Linked DNA regions of Xenopus tropicalis. The protein of the gene in region 2 interacts with the protein of the main gene of each other region in a pairwise test. Links are inferred from orthologs where the notes say so. Each region holds a gene or a part of one and is shown on either strand. Other genes may lie near its edges.

Region 1 (3,045 bases), on a different chromosome or scaffold from region 2:
GTTCACCACTCTCTCTCCGACAGGCAATTAGAACACAATAAATCATTTATACAGCCCTTTCATGTCTTGCACCTTCTAAGGTGATCACCCAATGGAGTCAGACCACACCTATTATATATTCTGCACTGTAAACCTATAACCCAAGGGCTTAAGCTAATTTCTCTTGGGGTGCTTTTCATCAGGTTTCATTGGATCCGATTTACTTGAAAAAATTACAGAGGTTAAAAAATGCCTGTCTCCAAGCAATCTGTGGCTATCAGAGGATGAATAGTTCAACTAGAAGGCAATCCAACACAATTAAGACAAAAAATTATACAAAAATGAGAAAAGCACTGCTTAGGTGAAAACTGGAAAAGCTACAATTTGTGTTACTTGCCAACCCCAGCAGAAGAAGCGGCTATTTAAAGGGATACACATACATGCTGCTTCTTCCTATACAAGTCAGTGGTCTATTTTCCTAATGCTGCAATTTGTCTGTAATTTTGCAAGGCTTTAAGAAAATTTCAATAAACAATGCAGCTCATTGGGAAAAAGTTTATTTATAAAAATGTATAATTTGAAATCAGAAATCTCTGGGAAGTAAGAAAGCACACAATGACAGTACACACAGTATATACAGTTGTACTGTACATTCATAGCAACATAAACACTTGTGTTTGTAGTAAGTTTTTCTGAGCGCCTACATGGCATATATATTGTGCTTCTGCATACAATAAGCCAGCTAGTGAAGAGATATATATATATATATATATATATATATATATATATCACATTGAAAGAACACAAACATATTTATATAAATATACACAAGACAAATATTTCAGGTGTAATCTGGCCTCTTCCTAGATGTAATGAAAAGCAAAGAGAGGTGAAAATAAGTAAGTAGCTAAAATGCAGCAGAAATACCAAGATCTAACGTAACATCAAGAAAAGCATAGGCAATAATATTCCACATTTCCTTTTCTGGAATATGAATGTCTCTTATAGAAGAATTTAATCAGTTATCAATGTCCATGCGATTCCTTCTTTCCTTTGCTTTGCTCTTGTCGGATCTCTGCTGCCCAGCAGAACTGCTACCATTCTGATTCTGGGCAAATCTAGCCACTGTTGAGACCCCATCAACAAACTTTGTCTTGAAGAGGACGTTGGCGTTGTTAAACATACCGTCTTTCAGTGACACCACAATGAACTGAGAATGGATGAAAAGGTGTTAAAATGAAGACAAATAAACATGTAAACCCTAAAAGGTACATTTATTTTTAGGTGTGATAGTAACTTGAGCAATTAAAGGGAAAAATGTACCACCCCCCCCCCATTTTGACATGAGCTCATACAGTTGGGCTTTTGTAGAGAGGTGTACAAAGACTAACCTAACTTCTAGTTATAAATATAAATGTACTGAACACATTTACATTTATATCTGGAAATTCAGATTTTCATGTGTTTAGGCACATTTTTACATCAATCCAACTAAATGAGCTTATATCAAAATGGGGGGGGGGGGTATATTTTCCCTTTAAGCATTGCACACACAGTTGGTGATGATGTCCCTCTTTTCAAGTTGTGTGTGTTGTGGTCTCCCTTTAAGGTGATTTCAGCAAGAGCTTATTAATCCTACCAATCAGCTCCCTCAGTTTGTGTGACTGAATATGGGCATGCCATTACCCTAAACCAGATTGCCTCAAACAATGAGAAACAAGGCTGGCACTAGAAAAACTGGATCAAATAACAAAAAGTGGTGCAGTGTTTGTTTTATTCAAAGGAAAAACATCTCAAAGCCCTTCACATCTCTTCAGTTTCCAAAGTTGCGCGACTTCAGAAACCAAAGCGATGTGAAGGGCTTTCCACTGGCGACTTCTGTTGTTGCCTGTGGAAACTCTTTTCAGAGCAGTTACTCACTCACTATATCAGCAATCTATCGCGGGCAAGTAAGTCGCTCTGTGGGTGCTTACCCTAAGGGTGAAGACACACAGAATTACTTAGTAGCAGCTAAACACCAGAATATACCCTGCCATAGACAATACTGAGAATTGCCTTATAAGTAAATGATCAGCATTGTCTATTTTCGTAGCCTTGAAAAGGCTACAAAAAGCTCTGTCTGTGTCTCTTCACCCTAAAAGGTGGACAACAGGTGACCACAGATTCCCCCCCAAAGGATTACTATGGTGAACAGCTTATCTGCATGCTTTGTTGGTGGAATTATAAACTTATAATGAACATTAAACTTATAGGAAAAGCATCTCTTGATGCCCTATTACACACTATCTTGTACTCCAGTGCACTGTAGGTTTAAGTAAAAGCATACTAAACAGTCCTGTGACTAAGCTCAGTTTACATTAATAGCTGCCCCTGCTCCCTTACCTGAGAGTGCCGGAAGTGAGTGCGAAGCATCTGTCCAATGTTCTGCGTGTGAGAAAGATCCAGGGCAGCATCAACTTCATCTAAGATGTAGATTGGGGCAGGTTTGAAAAGTAACATTGCCAGAATGAGCGACAATGCCACCAATGAGCTGAAATGAGAATATCAATAAATTGTAGTGAAACCAAGAATATAAAGATTTGTGAAAATCACTACAAGGCCTTACATAAAGCTTAAAGATAAAATGCTTGCTTTAGGTACTATATATGAATAGGTACCGTTGTCCTCCGCTCAGTTCTGTGAGATTTTCTTTCCATGTGTTGCCCAGAGCAACCTTAAACTCTAGCCCATCCAGCACACTCTGCCCTTCCGGAGGTGCCAACATAGCATTGGCCCCAGGTAACAGGGTTGAGAAGATAGATCCAAAGTCCTTATTCACCTAAAATGGATAGAGAGTGTGTATGAGCAATCATAAACTATAATTAAATGACTTTAGGAGCTGTAAGCTTTCCCTCTAACCAACATTTATGCAAAAGACAGAAGGGTTTATTTATGAGTTGCACAGTTGAAGAAAACTGCAGAAAAACCCCACTCATTCAAGGTACTTGTGTGAACATGGGCTCCTTGCACCTTCATATGGTTGCGCTTGTAGCCACTGCCTTCCCCCTGCCACTTTTTTCCAAACCA
Region 2 (4,150 bases):
ATCAGTTGTACTGGCTGATACATTATATAGCTTTAAGAAAGGGTTGGATGGCTTTTTAGCAAGTGAGGGAATACAGGGTTATGGGAGATAGCTCTTAGTACAAGTTGATCCAGGGACTGGTCCGATTGCCATCTTGGAGTCAGGAAGGAATTTTTTCCCCTCTGCTGCAAATTAGAGAGGATTCAGATGGGGTTTTTGCCTTCCTCTGGATCAACTAGTAGTTAGGCAGGTTATATATAGGCATTATGGTTGAACATGATGGACATACTTCTTTTTTCAACCTAACTTACTATGTTACATTCTGTCTGAGGCACGACCAGTTGAACAATGGCAGACACAATGGCAAACACAGGGAGCATATGCCTGCCTTATGGTGATAGTTTTGTAAATACAGACTGGGTCTCACTGTATATAATGTGCCTGGGATGTCAGTACCCACTGCCTTTCTCACTATAAAACTAACTAAAACACATTTAAGCTAACTGATCCTAAACACAAATGGATGGAGAACCCCTCACAGAAGTGCATGTATGAATATTTTTATATCCTAAGCATGTTAGGGTGAAAATACACCCCCATCCGCACTTTTGCACAGTATCCCTGGAAGTCAGTGGGAACGGCAAGAGGTAGTTGGGGGTTCATTTTTTACATCAACAGCCAATCCACTAAGTTTCACATTAGCTGTAGGTCAGTCTATGCATGGCCCATCTTTAGCCTCCCCGAACAAAAAACTCACCCTCCGCCTATGCAGTAGAAAAGAAAATCATTTGCCAACTTAAATTCATTGAATCTCATGAATTTGCACTATTATAAAAAAGCCAACAGGCTTTGGGATATATGGCAATTCATAAATGTAGGAAGGGGATAATACCAATGACTGGAGATAGAAATACTGAATGTTGGCTTGCCAGAGAGAAATATAAAAAAATGTACCCAGATATAAACAAAACAAACGAAATAAATGGTAAATTATTTACGTGAAATTGAATAGTTTGCCATTTGGGTTACAAATGTGTGGGCCTCATATTACAGGGTAATGTAACTGATGGTACTGCACCTCATATGATTAAAGAAAGCACAAACGCAACACGTTCGCCCCCTGGCACAATACCCCTGGCATCCTTTAGTCAGTGCAGTACCCTTTATAGCTAAAGTGCAAATGAGTAGGACCCAGCTTTCTGTTTCCCAATGAGACCCTCAGCTTTCATTTCATTTAGTGAACGTTGCACCTCACACCTTACTAGTTTACGCAATGAGTTTGTATAGTGTGTTATGACCTAATAGAACCCCACCCCGCGCTCTGTTACTGTTGGTTCCCATGACAGCGGACGCTTAGTAACAGGAGAGGCGACGCATGCGCAGAGGTCAGAACGCAATGGCTTGTGGGTAAGATAGGGTTGCCTGGCGCTGAAGAGGGCTGTAGCCTGGCGCTTGTAGGGAAGTGGTGGCTGCAAGTTAGGGGAGCTGAGGGTCGTGTGTTTAGCTTGTCAGTGAGATGGACCCTGCGATTATTGGGCGCACTCAGGAAACCCTGGGGAAAGTGATTCGCAAACCTCCTCTTACCGAAAAACTACTGGGAAAACCTCCGTTCCGCTATCTGCATGATATCCTGACTGAGGTGAGCTCACGGGCTTCTGTTTCTTTTGGCAAGGGATGCTGGGAAATGTAGTTCTTGTACAAGTCAGGGCTGGAATTAGGGTAGAGCAGAGAGTACATTCTCACTGGGCCCTGGTAGTTCATGGGCACTTTGTAATAATTGTTCGATAATTTGCCTATACATTTTATAGATGTGCAACCTGCGGCCCTCCAGCTTCATGTAAACTGCAACTCTCAGCAATGTATTCCACCTTCAGCCAGAGAGTTGGGAGCAGCAGCTGATGGGCTACAGGTTGGGTATCACTGGGTATATGCTGCCCCAGCATGACTTACTGGGGGGGGGGGGGGGGGCACTATTTAGCAATATCTGCCACTTACTGACTGACTGCCATGCTGGAGATCTCTACTGTCTGTATCTCCATACCCCCTAGTTTGCCAGACTACCTACACTCTGTCTTTATGGGGTGATTAGGAAACCATATCTCTTGGATGTGTGAGATTTCAATGTCTAGGATTCCTTCCACATCGCTGGCTCTTTGGGTTGGACCAAAGTTGTAACATGCTGCATAATCTTCCCAAACCTACACTGTGTTGCTTTACATTTTATTCCTTTGTTCGGCTGATTTTATGGAAATATTGGTGCCTAAATTTAAAGAATTCATAGAAAAAATTACCCTGACATCGCCAAACGAGCAGATCTTATGGGGACTGCTCTCTAGCCAGGACCTCCGTACTGTGTGATATTTCTATCCCCACATGATAGCTTGAGAGGAGGCTAAAACACACAACTGTTTTACTTACATTACTTGACTGTCATAGAGTCTGTGCAATATTAATATCTCCAATAATATAAATGAAATAATTTGCAGTGGTGAAAAATCCAGGTCTCTGTGAAATACACATGAATCTTCTGTTTTAATGCAATGTGGCCGAGAAGTCCATGGTGGTGTGCAGAACATTTCTTGTCCTGTTTCCAGGCAAATTATGTGAATGCCCAGTAAAAGAGAAATCTGAAGTTAATTGGGCTGCATCTGACATTTCTAGGTCTGGGGAATTTAAAGGCTAATAAACCTTAGTGTGTGGCCTCCCATTCTATTTTCCATAATGTCTTTGTGCCAACACCCTTTCTGGTTGTAGGTTATAGCTTTTAGCATGTACTGCGTTGGGTAGTCTATGGCAGTGTATAGATGTCCTGTGGCACCTGCTTCATGCCTGGTTGCAGATAGACCCATATGCTTGTTTCTGTCCAGGCATAAACATGAGAATAAATCACAAACACAATCTGGGCGATTACACCGATTAATAGGTCAGTACCTTCTATCTAAGCAGTGGTGTTTTTTCTTTCTGTGTACACAAAAAGGAAAATCATAGGAATAAATCTCCCTTTTGGTTGCAGGGTATACAAGGAAGCATTTAAACAGCATATAAATATATAAATCTAACTAGGCATGCCCATTTGGTCAGTCTTGAGCTTTCAGCAGTTTGCTGTTCTGCACTGGTGGCCAAGTTGCCTTTAGATGTAATTGCACAATACAGGTATCGGACCCCTTATCCGGAAACCCGTTATCCAGAAAGCTTCGAATTACGGAAAGCCTGTCTCCCATAGACTCCATTTTAATCAAATAATTCAGAATTTTAAAACTGATTTCCTTTTTCTATGTGGAAATAAAACAGTACCTTGTAACTGATCCTAACTAAGATATATATAATCCTTATTGGATGCAAAACAATCCTATTGGGTTTAATTAATGTTTTATTGATTTTTTAGTAGACTTAAGGTATGGAGATCCAAATTACGGAAAGACCCCGTTATCCGGAATACCCTTGGTCCCGAGCATTCTGGATAATGGGTCCTATACCTGTATCACCTAGAACAGGAGCCATTTTGGAGAAACATATAATAATAGTACCAAGGTTTTGTACTGTAGGTATATGTGAGATAAACTGACGAGTAGCTATAAGAGCAAATCTAGAAAGGCAAGGTGCTGCTTTGTGCAGTCTTAATCACTTACTTAAAAATTACTTGCATGTAGCACCAGTGCCTAGTTCAGCCTGTTGCGATAAATTGCACACAATGCAACATACAGGGTACATGGATGCAAAGGAGCAGTCATGAGAGGGCTGGCCCAAAAACTTCTAAAGGTGGCCATACATGTATCAATTTTGATCTTTTGTGAGACCATTGGTCGCATGAAAGATCGTTCCCACCCTCCACTGACGTTCAGGGCTGAATCGTCAGATATGGAGGTTGAAACAATAGAAATTCTATCTCCACCTGAAGGCACCTGATCAAAATCTTTTAACCTGGCCGATCGACGAGTAGACCAATATCTGCAGCCTTTTGTAATATCGTTTGCTTCTTTGAGCAGCCATACACGCACCGAATATCGCACGAAACAAGGTTTCGTACAATATTATCGGTGCATGTATGGCCGGCTTAATGCCGCACCAATACACAGATCAATTGAAGAGATGTTATTCCTGGGTTTCCTTGGTTGTTGTGCCTATCTGTATAACTGACCACCTACAACCTAGTGAATAAAACCCTAAAGCC
Region 3 (3,520 bases), on a different chromosome or scaffold from region 2:
TTGGCAGTATCTTGGGTGAGCTGCTCCCCGTCACTCAGCTGCTCGGTTTCAGGTACATTTTCCCCTAAATTTGAAATATCAAAATATCAATAAAATGAAGCGAGTAGTAGGATTAATTCTATTTTTCTTACAAAAATTCAGGACAAAACATAGACTCCTCACCATACGAAAATGATCATTTATAGCATCTAAAACATAAACTGGCATTTGCTTAGTGATGGGTTTGTGTTACATTTTCAAGAAACTAAAATTTACCATTCCTCCAGCGACTGAGCTCAGCCTCCAGCTTCTGGATAGTCTCCTTCAGAGTCTTGTTCTTCTCCTTTTCCTTCTCATACTTCTTCTTCCACTGCTCAGCAGTCAGCTCCAGGTTGACAGATGCAGTGTTCTTAATCGTCTTAGCCCTAAACAACAGTTTAGGGTTAGGAATTAAATGAAGACATCACTCATAGTAACCCTTTTGGACACCACAAATTAAGAATCCATAATAAGTAGTGTTGTATTGGTTTGTCTAAAGTTGTATTGGCTCTGTTCTGTTGACCTACATCTACACTGGTCAAAGTTCCCAATCTATACAAGAATCCCTTAAAGTCAAAGCAGAGGAATCAGCTCTGAATTTTTTAAACTCTCAGAAACTGGCCATAGACCATGAGTTGCCAGGTATAACTGCCATATGCCTAATGTGTGCTGATGCCAACCTTCTTGTTCCACTCCCAATAGGCATTTATTCCTTTCCATGATTCCTCCAGTTTTTATAACCATTTCAGTTTTGTGTTCCTAATAACCCCCACTGAAAAATTACCGCTGTCCAAACATCAGCGTTGACTTAGTCTCTGCATCATTGTAGCTGGATGGAGAGCAGCAGATGAACATTGTTGTCCTGCAGTTTCCACCCAATGAGTCCTGAAGAATTCGAGTCATCTTGCTGTCTCTATAGGGCACATAACCTTTCTAAAATACAAAGGTAAATAACTATAAATGGACATATTATGAATTACTATATATAATACGCCAACAGAAATGTAGTCAGACACCACTGATATATATACTAAAAATTACAACCAGTATACAACTGCGACTTGTCTCCTCTGGTGTAATCCCACCATAAATTCCTTTTCTGCCCTAACCAATAGCTGACTCTGGCTGCATTCACGGGACACTTGAAACTGGATAGCCCCCAACTGGAAGGCACTGGGGCACCTCAGTCTCTAGAATTACAGTCTATTCTGAGGGACTTTTTCTCTCTAAAATATACCTGTGTAACTTAGTATATTGAAACTGCGCAGAATGGATAATTGCTAGGTGAATCATACTATAAAACACTTACTCTTTTTATACAAATGATTAAGTTATTTAGGGGTTTTATACCCAAAGATCAAATGGACTTCAGTGACATTTACTAAACACAGGTCTCCCTTACCGATCCTTCAGCCAGGGCAGAAATCACATTTCCCAGAGCAGACAGAGATTTGTTGATATTCTTGGCTTCATCCAAAACTGAACCTTCAGCTCCAGTCTTACTGACCTGAAAAGATGTAAGTGTTTTCTCATATAATTGCAGATAAGTTAATAATACAGGGATAATTTTCTTTATCTCTGTTACCTAATCAAACCCCAATATTTTCTACAGACAAAGCTGTGCACCCTCATTACTATTTGGGGGACATTCACCATTTTTAGCACTTGTGCTTATTGTAATATAATACTTTGTATTTATCTATTTTAATACCCCTGTTTGTATTAATGTATTCTACTGTACAGCGCTGCGTACATACTGTAAGTAGCGCTTTATAAATAAAGTTATACATACATACATACAAAGGCATCATCGTTTGCCAGCCTTGTAGTGCCCTCTAGCAAATCTTTGCACAACATTACAGCAGAGGCACCGATACTAATAGAGGCAGAATTCTATATCAGAAAATCGCACAGCAACTAATATTCAGTTTTCATTTTTTTTAAACTGCAGAAATGGCGTTAGTGATGGTCATTTTATTTATTTTTCCTTTACAAGAGGAAATACAACCCCCTGAAGCTAATATGTAGCAGCTAACATTACTGACTCTAGCAAGACACTTCCATGTCTGATAAATACACTATCAAGCAAAAATATTATGGACCAAACCTGAACTGGACTCCTAGTTTCAATGTTTACCTGGTTAGTAGTGCTTAAAAGTTTGTGTTTGCGAAACCTTTAAAAATGTTCTATATTTTTATATGAATGTGACCTAAAATATCTAAAAGTAGATGAAGAAAACCTAGTTAAACAAATATTATATTTGGTCATGTATTTTTTTTGAAAAAAAATGATCCAATAACATATCTGCACGTGCCACAAGTAAGTGGATTGTATCTGTATCAGTATCTGTGCTGTTGGCAGCACTAACTGCAACTAAATGTTTGTGGTAACTGCTGATCAGTCCTGCACATCGGCTCTAAGGAATGTTAGCCCATTCCTCCATACAGCACAGCTTCAACACTTGGATGTTGGTGGGTTTCCTCACATGAACCGCTCTCTTTAGATCTTTCCATAACATTTTAATTGGATTAAGGTCAGGACTTGGCCATTCTAAAACATTCACTTTATTGTTAAACCATTCTTTGGTAGAATGACTTGTGTGTCTAGGATTGTCTTCACAGATTCACAGACAGATGCCTTGACCTTTTCCTTTAAAGGAAAAGGAAAGGCTAATAAAGAGTTAATCTCAAGCTGCAGGCATACCTTCAGTTGTCTCATTAGTGCCCTTAAGTCTCCCCATATTTGACCTGTTCAGATGATCAGAAGCCAAACAGGAAGAAAAAACGCTGAGCTGTGTAAAGAAAGTTCCCATAATGCCTCGCTCCTGCACCGAGACCCAGACCAAGTGTACATGTGCAGTTTGTAAGACTATGAGTCAGCTTCCTGCTGATTGGCTCAGATCCACATTCCTAAGGGGGGGAGTGAGTTCTTAGCATTCTTGAGGGAGGGGGGAGCAGGAGAGGGGAGAGAGGAGAGAGCTGCATGTCTTTTGACAGAGAACTCAGTGCAGTGTTTTTGTGAGTGCTTATGGCTATATTTAAATAGACCTTTCTGATAAAGCTTACTTAGTTTTTACCTTTCATTCTCCTTTAAAATTCTCTGGTATAGTTCAGAATACAATGTTCCATCAATGATGGCAAGCCGTTCAGGCCCAGATGCAGCAAATGCTGAGTGCAGCATTTTTCTTTCTTATTTAAGCCAAAAAGTTGTATTTTGGCTTCATTCATCCACAAAATGTCTGGTTCTGGTTTGTCCACATGATCTTTACCAAATTCTGCCATAATTTGGGGGGAGAGCATTGCTGTTAGTATTCTCCTGATGGTGGACTCATAAACATCAACATTCACTAATGTGAGACAGACCTTCAGTTGCTTAGAATTACCCTGGGTTCCTTTGTAACCTCTTAGACTATTAGACGCCTTGCAGTTGCAGTTATCTCAGATGGTCGACCACTTCTGGGTAGGGTAACAATGGTCTTGAATTTCTTCCATTCGTACACAA

What was found.
Region 1: the proteins of traf3ip1 (region 2) and smc2 interact in a two-hybrid assay, tested with the Homo sapiens proteins (2 studies listed by BioGRID and IntAct). The link is inferred for Xenopus tropicalis from reciprocal best matches to the Homo sapiens genes TRAF3IP1 and SMC2.
Region 3: the proteins of traf3ip1 (region 2) and kif5a interact in a two-hybrid assay, tested with the Homo sapiens proteins (2 studies listed by IntAct). The link is inferred for Xenopus tropicalis from reciprocal best matches to the Homo sapiens genes TRAF3IP1 and KIF5A.

Annotation. Positions count from the first base shown.
Region 1 is NC_030677.2:107,826,263-107,829,307, forward strand, and holds the end of smc2 (structural maintenance of chromosomes protein 2), read right to left. Parts: intron 2,798-3,045; coding exon 2,637-2,797; intron 2,510-2,636; coding exon 2,362-2,509; intron 1,190-2,361; coding exon 998-1,189; 3' UTR 521-997; downstream 1-520. UniProt on the Homo sapiens protein: Central component of the condensin complex, a complex required for conversion of interphase chromatin into mitotic-like condense chromosomes.
Region 2 is NC_030685.2:60,707,998-60,712,147, reverse strand, and holds the start of traf3ip1 (TRAF3-interacting protein 1), read left to right. Parts: upstream 1-1,348; 5' UTR 1,349-1,495; coding exon 1,496-1,618; intron 1,619-4,150.
Region 3 is NC_030678.2:140,715,357-140,718,876, reverse strand, and holds part of kif5a (kinesin heavy chain), read right to left. Parts: intron 1,526-3,520; coding exon 1,421-1,525; intron 952-1,420; coding exon 803-951; intron 405-802; coding exon 256-404; intron 65-255; coding exon 1-64. UniProt on the Homo sapiens protein: Microtubule-dependent motor required for slow axonal transport of neurofilament proteins (NFH, NFM and NFL). Can induce formation of neurite-like membrane protrusions in non-neuronal cells in a ZFYVE27-dependent manner.